Tribolium castaneum: one gene and its partner. Each later gene encodes a partner of the first gene's protein in a complex. Links are inferred from orthologs where the notes say so. Each region holds a gene or a part of one and is shown in the gene's direction. Other genes may lie near its edges.

Region 1 (5,236 bases):
ACGCCAAAAATAGCGAATTCAAGCAGTTGGCTTTCCAGAAACCGTCGGATATTCAGGTAAAGTCAAAAATTTGGAAAAAATAAAAATTTAGTTTTTCTTGCATTCTACGCTCATATCTTAAAAATTTGGGGTAACTTTAAAGCATCGAAATGAAGCGAGTTAGAAACTTTCGTTTGTCACATATTTTTTTCTTTTGGGCAACTAGAAGTATTTGTAGTATTTCTCAAATTTGCTTTTCAATTTTCCCGTACACAAAAAAATGATCTGTTACTTTGTGAAAAAAAAATTCTTTGAAAAACTGTGATTTTCCCGCAGGCGTTGCAGAAGGAAAACCAGGAGCTCCAGGCGACGGCAAAATTGGCCCAATCCGAGCTGGACATCGCTCTCAGCGCCCACGAATCTCAGCGCCAAATCCTCCTCACGCTGAATTCGCAGCTGGCGTCGCGAGTACAAGAACTAGCAACGATCCACGACGAAATCACCACGGCTTTGCAGACGTGAGAGCTTGAAGACAGATAGCATCGTAATGTACGCGAACGCATTTATATTGCATATGTATAGGGTCCGTGTAATATCTTGCTTAGGTCTATAACTATGAATGTCTCGAAAAATATAATATTCATAACGTACGTACTATCGGTTATAAACTTTATACTTTATTTATTTACAAAGTGCCACCGCACAATTTATTAGGTTGTCTAATGTCCATGCATTTATTGAAATTGTGATGTGTCCGGACTCGCGTCCAAAGGCCAAAACGAACAAAAGTTATTTTATTCTGCAGCTTCCTTGATTAAAGTGGCGCCGTCTATTTTTTTTCCTTTCTTTCCTTCACGGATTAAGGAAGCTGTTTTATTCAGCTGCGATTTTTGGTTGTGTAAATGCCATTTAATTGTAGGATTTTCAAGTATCAAAGCGTTTTATACGTAACAATGCGTACTGTCGTGCAGCTTTCAGTATTTTGTTAATAGTTGCAGAATTAACATATCATGGGTTTTGTGTTTTATTATTGTGATGCGTTAATTTTGTTACTATTACCGAGCGCACATTTATTTTAGGTTTCATTTCATCATCGAGATTGACTGATTATTTATTTTACGTTATCATTTGAATCAAAATAAGTCCTCATAAAAACGTAGCGAATTACTTTATGTTGCCATTGTGAAATAGGGTTCTTCGTAGCCAAACACTAAGCTGACAATGCACACGTATTATTACAAGATTTTTTGTTTATTTATATTTTATTTGGTTGAAAAAGAATTGCTTGAGAGACGTTTAGCGCGTTGTTATAATTATATAGAAGAAATGTCTTTCAAGCACGTTTTTAACGTGACTTTCAAAGCAACAATAACGATAATAATGGAAATTTCTCAATACTGTACCATTAGAAGTCAGTGCTATAAACATATTGCACTTGTACTATAGGCGGAGATTTGTTCTAATAATAGGATGAGCTGATTATTATTATGTTGAGATTGTTATAATGAAGCAAAACTGTTTCCAATTTTTTATTTCTGTATAATGCAAGACCAAAATGTATTAGGCGATTTTGTTTGTAGAAATAGATGATTATTAAAAAAGTGACTTTTTGTGTGAAACCCCCAAAACACCCAGAATTCAGGCACATTTTAGGTGTGTATGATAAGGTCTAAGGGAGACAGCAAGGTGGAAAAACGTGTTGATTTGAATTTAAATTTTGTACCAACCTCAAAACCTAAAATTCCCCCGATTTCGAAAGTGATTTTTTTAGGTTATGTGTATCATGAAAGCTGCATAAAAAATAAAGTTTTTGGCTTTGGAAATCATGTCCAATAAACGCAAACCCGATTCCCAAGTCCCAGCCGAAGAAAGCGACCTTTTGACCATTAGGCCACTGTAATTATTCCAAAAATTACAATTTTGTGTTAACACTGTCTTGTAGGGGTGCCGGTCAGGAAGTGGGACGGTCTTGCATAATGCTTGAATTTAAAGGGAAAAAAATTATGGTCAGTTTGATCGATTTTTATTCGTTTATAAGACTTTAAACTTGTAGCTTGATTGTGGAATCCATCCTGGGCTCTCAGGCATGGATGCGTTGCCTTTCGTTGATTTAATTGAAGCCGACGAAATCGATTTGTTGCTAATATCACAGTACGAAACATTTTTTTTTCGTACATTAATAACTGTAACGTGAAATTCCAGTTTTCACCTGGACCATTGTGGGGCTTTGCCCTGGTTTTTGCAAAAAACGAGTTTCAAGGGTCGCTGCTTTATGACCCACGCCACCAAGGCGATTTATCGGTGGTTATTGTCAGATTATGTGAAAGTCAGGTAAATTGTGACTTAATAAGGGCGAAAAAAATTTCTGGTAGTTCTCCGTAATTATTATTAAAAAAAAATAAGATTTATGTTTTTAAACTGGCCCTTGACCTACTTTGATCGGAAATGTGTTCGAATTTGCAGCAACATTGCAACCGAACAGATGCTCTACACTGAGGCGGACTTGGAGGCTAGTATGGACAAAATCGAGACAATAAATTTCCACGAAGAGAAAGACGTTTTGGGGATCAAATTCTGGGCTTACAATGCGGGACATGTCTTGGGCGCCGCTATGTTTATGATTGAGATAGCTGGCGTTAAAGTACGACACTTAAATTTCAAACAACTTTATTGAAAATTTCGTTTTAGATTTTATACACTGGCGATTTTTCGCGTCAGGAAGACCGTCATTTAATGGCTGCGGAGATTCCAACAGTTCACCCTGATGTTCTAATTACAGTACGACTTAAATTTTGACTAACATTTATTCAAAAAAATATTACAGGAATCTACCTACGGTACCCACATTCACGAAAAACGCGAAGAACGTGAAAGTCGTTTTACGAATCTAGTTCACGATATTGTTAACAGAGGCGGTCGCTGTTTGATCCCCGTTTTTGCATTAGGACGGGCACAGGAGTTGCTTCTAATTTTGGATGAGTATTGGAGCCAACATCCAGATTTACACGATATTCCCATCTATTATGCTTCCTCATTGGCTAAGAAATGTATGGCTGTGTACCAGACTTACATCAACGCCATGAACGACAAAATTAAGCGACAAATCGCAATAAACAACCCGTTCGTGTTCAAGCACATCTCGAATTTGAAGGTGAGTTTTTGTAGCTGTGAGTATAGAAAATTTTATTACCAAGTTGGCAATGAGAACCATAACTTGAGTAGACTATAATTAATGCAATGATCACTGAGCTAATAATCGTATTATGAATAATTCGTAAATTCTGTCTGCGTTTTTTATCAAATTGTTATAAAAAACGAATGCATAAACGTACAAAAAAATGTAGTTTATTTTTACGGACTTGAAACTTATCAAGACATCGTGTGAGTGTAATAAAATTAATAAAATCGGTTCGGTGCGGTTATAACTTATCCAGTACGCTTGGAATATGGAAAAAATAATTTATTACGTAATAGAATATATTATTTCAGTAAAATATGCATAAAAAAATAAAAACTGGATTAACAAATAGTTATGAATACGCAACCAATAATACATTTTTAATCGTAGAAAAATACTTGTATGCCATTTTCACTTGATTTCGAATCGTTGCCCCACTTCGAACACATCGATTTCCGGCTTGACCTTATCGTAAAGATGTGGGAACGACCCCTCGGCCCCATACTTCCTCCGCACTTTCTCATACAACGTCAAGTCAAACATTTCCTCAAACTCTTCCCTAGTCATGAAAATATCGGCATACAAGAACGAAAAACCCCCAATATCACGCGTAAACTTCTCCATCTCCCTCATCGCATAAACAGGATTATACCGCTCCTTGCGTTTCACATACCCAGGCACCCCATAAATCCCCAAATCGTTGTACATTGCATAATCGGTCCCCTCAACGATATACTCCTTCCGGGGCGCTTTCAACTGACCGGAAGCCGGTCCTCTGTCATAAACCCGACATGGGTAGACCAGAAGTGGATAGGCGTCGAAAAGTTCGTCCGATTTATCGATTTGATCCTCAAGTTTGCGAATTGGTAGGACAATGTCTTGGAACACTTGTCTTGTGAAAGTGTAAACTCGTACGCCGGGGGTTGTCGTGAATTTGAGGAATGCTGGCTTTGGGGGCAACAACCAGCCGAAGAATAGGCGGAAAAGGGGGTTGTTGCCGAAGGGGATCATTGATTCAACGACCCAGAAAATGGCCCGGTTGTGGCGCAGTAAATACTCCCGTAAAGGGATCAACTCTGTGTGTTTGCCTTTTTTGAGGAATGTTTCCACGTATTTGTAAAACCACGGTTTGTACCAGCGATTTACGTGGTTTATCGGCAGGTTTGGGTCATAGTCGGAGTAAGACCCTGTCATTATTACGGCCCTTTCAGGGCTATAAATAGTCGCTTCCACGTAATCTTCAGTGGGATAATCGCCACTATCGCCTGACAATAACCTGATCATATCACAGTAGTTTTTCTTCCCTTCGACCGGAATATAATTCATTTTGATAAAGGGCTTGACTTTCACAAGTCTCAAGGTTAAGGCTACAAGAAACCCCAGACTGCCGTGTGACCACGGCAGGGTTTTATAAAGATCAGCGTTTTCGTTCTTCGCAGCCCTGACAAGACTCCCATCGTGCAAAACCACCTCGTACGAAACCACCGTTTCGTGGTACAGCCCCACTTTGTGTGAGTGCGTCGTCATGCCGGTGCCCAGCGCGAGCCCCCCGAGCGTGGCGTCGGCAATTTCAAGTGTCACAGCTAGGGTGAACCCCCGCGGAATTAAAAATTGCGTGATTTCGCCCACAGTGACCATGGGTTCGACCCGCACGGTCAGATTGTGTTCATCCAATTGCAGAATGTCGAACAGATCGACGTTGATTTTGTGGCACAGGTCTTTGCGGTAGAAGGTGGTGGAGAGGCTTAGCCAGTTGGGGCGCGCTGTACATAGAAGTTTTCGTTCGTCTTTGGGGATTTTGTTCCATTGTTGGATTTGTTTCTGGATCGCGCGGACGCGCGAATCGTGGTTTGTGGGGCTGCTGAAGAAAAACCGGTGGAGGGTTTTGCGGATTGTTAGGAAGAGGTTGAAAATGTAGCTGGCGGGGAGGCAGAAGAAGAGGACGACGAGGCCTCGGTGGGTTTCGAGGAATTCGACGAGGCGGCCCATCTGGAAATAAATAATTTTGCAAAATTGAGGGAAAAAACAGTTTCTAACCTCACTTTTGGAAGAGTTGATTAACTCTGTTGCGATGTGGTT
Region 2 (4,241 bases), on another chromosome or scaffold:
CTATTATGTAATTACAGGTAAACAAATTATTAAAAAAATTACATTTTTAAATTTTTTATGAAAAAGTACCTCTGCAGTGTCTTTGTTTCAGATGTGTTTTTTATACAGGCTGCACAAAAAATGAAATCAGATTTTCTTTCAAGAACTTAATTTTTGTATATTTTTTGAATTTGTTTTCCTCAGCAAAGGTATCGATTGTTTTTTTTGTTTCCTACGGTGTCGAATGTAATATATCAAATTGGCAAGTTTTTGAATTGTTTTGTACATCATAAGACATTTGTAAATATGATCTGAAGCACCAAAAACGTAACCTTGAAGAGTTATATCTCGTGATAGAAGGCTCATAGGAACTTTTAATTCAGTTTGCTTCCTTTATCAGCTTCCGGGAGATTGTTCATCACTTTTGAATCACTCTGTGTAATAAGGAAGATATTTTTTTAGATTAAATTTCGCTAAAATGTCAACTTTTGATTAACTTTGTTGTTGTCGAAAGCAAATGATATAGCGGGATGTGGGTTTTGACCATAATTATTTTCTCGAATAACGAGCTTAAGAATGTGTTATTCGTTTTTTAAAGCCTTTTAGTTTTAACGATTTTTTATTTGAAAACCTAAAATGCACCTGTTCATCTTAGTAATAATAGTTGTTATTTTTTTATAATTGTCGTTATTCTCTATACATTAAACAATGTATTTTTATCAAAACAATCAATTTTCGGACCTTGTATACAACAAATGGCTCCTAGTGGTTTTTTATTTTTTAAATCATACTAACTGTTTCAAGACTATTGAAGTGCTAACGTCGCATTTTGTCTAAAAATTATTTGTTATGTTATTCATGCGCTTCAAAAAATTATTAGCTGATGTAATTTATTATTTCAACTATTTTACATTTTTGTAAACGTTATTTAGAAAAATAATTCGGTAAAGGGCGTCGTTGGCATTTTGAAACGCTAATTAGTCCATAATGAAATTTTAGGAAAACTGTTACACAAACTTGACAATAAGGCTTATTCCAAATCTGCGGCCTATTTTATAAAACTTTTTACAAGTGATTTACTTGTCACTTGTAAAAATCAACTTGTAGTTTTTATGAAACGGGCCCCTGGTGGCGAACTGACATTGCCAAAAATGACTGAATTTTAGCATTGAAGATAGATATGTTTAATTAAAAAAAAAATGCCCACAGGCGTCACAATAAAAAGATAAGAATATTGAACAATATAATAATAGTAATATTTCTATGTATCTTCGTCCTCAAAATTTATGTTAAAGTAAATAAGTAAATTTTAGAGAAAAAAATGCACCCCCTTTATTTCATTCTTTTAATGAAGTGGGTGCATTTCAAGAGTTTTTTTTTATATCACTGCCAGTTCGCCACCAGATATGGAACAACCTTTACCCAGAACAATGCAATTGTGGATTAAATTTGTTTTTTTTTTTGACAATTTAGTGGTCAACTGGAACCAGTATTATCCTAGTATTACTAGTTGCATCAAAAAATCTTCAGAAATAAGCCACAATTGACTCGCAATGTATATTTACACTTAATTTTGAGTTTCGCAAATAAATTTTTTTTGGTAATTTTTAGATAGGCAACACACTATACGGACTGCCTATCAACGGATCATCTAATTTTTTACTTTCCTTATTTAAAGCCGTTCCTTATTATATTATTGTATCGTTTTCCAGAGATTGGAACACGGTAAACTTGCTAAGTTTTTTTTTGAATTTGAAATTTTTTACACTAAACCAGAGCTGCCAATCTAGACCAACTGGTGGCAGGCTATGGTGGCAGGACTACATGTCAAATAGTTGATTTTGTTGTGGTTAAAATAAAAGGTGTTGCGTTTTCATTTTTTGTAATATTAAACTACAAATATCGAAATGGAGTGCATTGTGGCCAACGTGGACCACATAAAATTCGACATTGAAGTGGCTCTAGATGAGCAATTCGGCGCTTTGCCCTTACCATTTCCCGGAATGGACAGTAAGTGAGGTTATGTCGAAAATATAATTTTCTCGTTTTTTGCTTTCAGAATCAATTGCAGCCGTTTGTCAGTTTTACACTTCAATACAAGGCTGTCAAAAGGGCCCCCAATGTCCGTTTCGTCACGTGCGAGGCGACCGAACCATTGTGTGCAAACACTGGCTGAGAGGTCTTTGCAAGAAAGGCGACCAGTGCGAGTTTTTACACGAGTATGACATGACAAAAATGCCCGAGTGTTACTTCTATTCGAGATTTAACGCTTGTCACAATAAAGAGTGTCCGTTTTTACACATAGACCCTGAGAGTAAAATCAAGGATTGTCCTTGGTATGACCGTGGGTTTTGTCGACATGGGCCCCACTGTCGTCACAGACACGTGCGCAGGGTTTTGTGTACGAATTACTTGGCAGGCTTTTGCCCCGAAGGGCCAAACTGCAAGTATATGCACCCAAGGTTTGAGTTGCCTGCGCCCCCTGATCAGGTGCAGAAGGACAAGAAAGCCACTCCTGTTATTATTTGTCACTTTTGTAACGAACATGGACACAAGGCGATACATTGTAATAAGATGAATAGTGATAACAGAGACGCCTTAAATGACGAGAATCGAAAACAGAATGATCATTATGAGCCTCAGAACTCTTATTTGCAGAAAATGTTGCCTAAGAAGCTGGAAGATGTTACTTGTTACAAGTGTGGTACAAAGGGACACTACGCAAATCGGTGCCCTAAAGGGCACTTGGCGTTTTTGTCACAGGCCAAGAGCAATCAGGATGGACAAGGTGATCAATAAGAGTGGTGATCGTTTTTAAATAATATTTAAAGTTATTCAAACTATTGTATTTATTCTATAGGAAAATAAACAACAATTTTTACGAGTAGATTTATTTCGCCTTTTTCCAAAAATTAATCTAATTATTTTTCTTAGGTTACAGGCGTAGTTTTTTAGGTACATTATACCATTGTTTGTGAGGTGAGATAAAGCTGTTAGAGTTGTTCTCACAAGTGAGTAAATCTAGAGAAAATTGGAGAAAACAATGAGTCTGTTCATTTCATCACTACGAAAACTGATGCTAATGTTACAGGCGGATATTTACTTGAATTTTTTGGATTTTTTTCTAATGCACGTGTAAGATAAAACGTCGTATATCACACGTGATCGAAATACCGTTTTAAAGCTCGTGGGACACTCCCACTCGAGCACAAGCGCACTCGTGTGTCAAATTCTCACTTACATATAATGATCCATTTCTATCTCTTATAATATAATATACTATTATCTTACAGGAGCAGTTTTTTAGGTACATTATACCATTAAACTTGGTGAGAGAAATGAAATTTCTCTCATTGAACATTTTCTCGTCCTCAGAGTAGATTAACTGTCCTAAAGTTTTATTTAAAGCGTTATAAAACAAAAAAGGAGGCAACGGCACGCGGTGTTCCCAAGCGGTCACCCATCCAAGTACTAACCGCGCCCGACGCTGCTTAACTTCAGTGATCAGACGAGAACTGGTGTATTCAGCGTGGTATGGACGTTGCCTGAACGTTTTCTCGTCCTCAGAGTAGATTAGCTGTCCTAAAAGTTTTATTTAAGACGTTACAAAACAAAAAAGGAGGCAACGGCACGCGGTGTTCCCAAGCGGTCACCCATCCAAGTACTAACCGCGCCCGACGCTGCTTAACTTCAGTGATCAGACGAGAACTGGTGTATTCAGCGTGGTATGGACGTTGCCTGAACGTTTTCTCGTCCTCAGAGTAGATTAGCTGTCCTAAAAGTTTTATTTAAGACGTTACAAAACAAAAAAGGAGGCAACGGCACGCGGTGTTCCCAAGCGGTCACCCATCCAAGTACTAACCGCGCCCGACGCTGCTTAACTTCAGTGATCAGACGAGAACTGGTGTATTCAGCGTGGTATGGACGTTGCCTGAACGTTTTCTCGTCCTCAGAGTAGATTAGCTGTCCTAAAAGTTTTATTTAAGACGTTACAAAACAAAAAAGGAGGCAACGGCACGCGGTGTTCCCAAGCGGTCACCCATCCAAGTACTAACCGCGCCCGACGCTGCTTAACTTCAGTGATCAGACGAGAACTGGTGTATTCAGCGTGGTATGGACGTTGCCTGAAAATTTTCTCGGCCTCACAGGAGATTAACTGTCCTAAAAGTTTTATTTAAGGCGTTACAAACCAAAAAAGGAGGCAACGGCACGCGGTGTTCCCAAGCGGTCACCCATCCAAGTACTAACCGCGCCCGACGCTG

Evidence for each region.
Region 2: Cpsf73 (region 1) and Cpsf4 share a complex: the UniProt entries of both Drosophila melanogaster proteins name them as parts of the cleavage and polyadenylation specificity factor (CPSF) complex. The link is inferred for Tribolium castaneum from reciprocal best matches to the Drosophila melanogaster genes Cpsf73 and Clp.

The regions. Positions count from the first base shown.
Region 1 is NC_087396.1:20,618,292-20,623,527, forward strand, and holds the start of Cpsf73 (cleavage and polyadenylation specificity factor 73), read left to right. Parts: upstream 1-1,718; 5' UTR 1,719-1,804; coding exon 1,805-1,875; intron 1,876-1,921; coding exon 1,922-1,985; intron 1,986-2,032; coding exon 2,033-2,130; intron 2,131-2,181; coding exon 2,182-2,310; intron 2,311-2,442; coding exon 2,443-2,620; intron 2,621-2,667; coding exon 2,668-2,757; intron 2,758-2,803; coding exon 2,804-3,130; intron 3,131-3,424; exon of another isoform or gene 3,425-3,568; coding exon of another isoform or gene 3,569-5,146; intron 5,147-5,199; exon of another isoform or gene 5,200-5,236. Other genes in the region: homer protein homolog 2, read left to right, coding at 1-56, 316-501; delta(24)-sterol reductase, read right to left, coding at 3,569-5,146. UniProt on the Drosophila melanogaster protein: Component of the cleavage and polyadenylation specificity factor (CPSF) complex that plays a key role in pre-mRNA 3'-end formation, recognizing the AAUAAA signal sequence and interacting with poly(A) polymerase and other factors to bring about cleavage and poly(A) addition.
Region 2 is NC_087394.1:10,088,991-10,093,231, reverse strand, and holds Cpsf4 (cleavage and polyadenylation specific factor 4, 30kDa), read left to right. Parts: upstream 1-1,828; 5' UTR 1,829-1,886; coding exon 1,887-1,989; intron 1,990-2,038; coding exon 2,039-2,778; 3' UTR 2,779-2,860; downstream 2,861-4,241. UniProt on the Drosophila melanogaster protein: Component of the cleavage and polyadenylation specificity factor (CPSF) complex that plays a key role in pre-mRNA 3'-end formation, recognizing the AAUAAA signal sequence and interacting with poly(A) polymerase and other factors to bring about cleavage and poly(A) addition.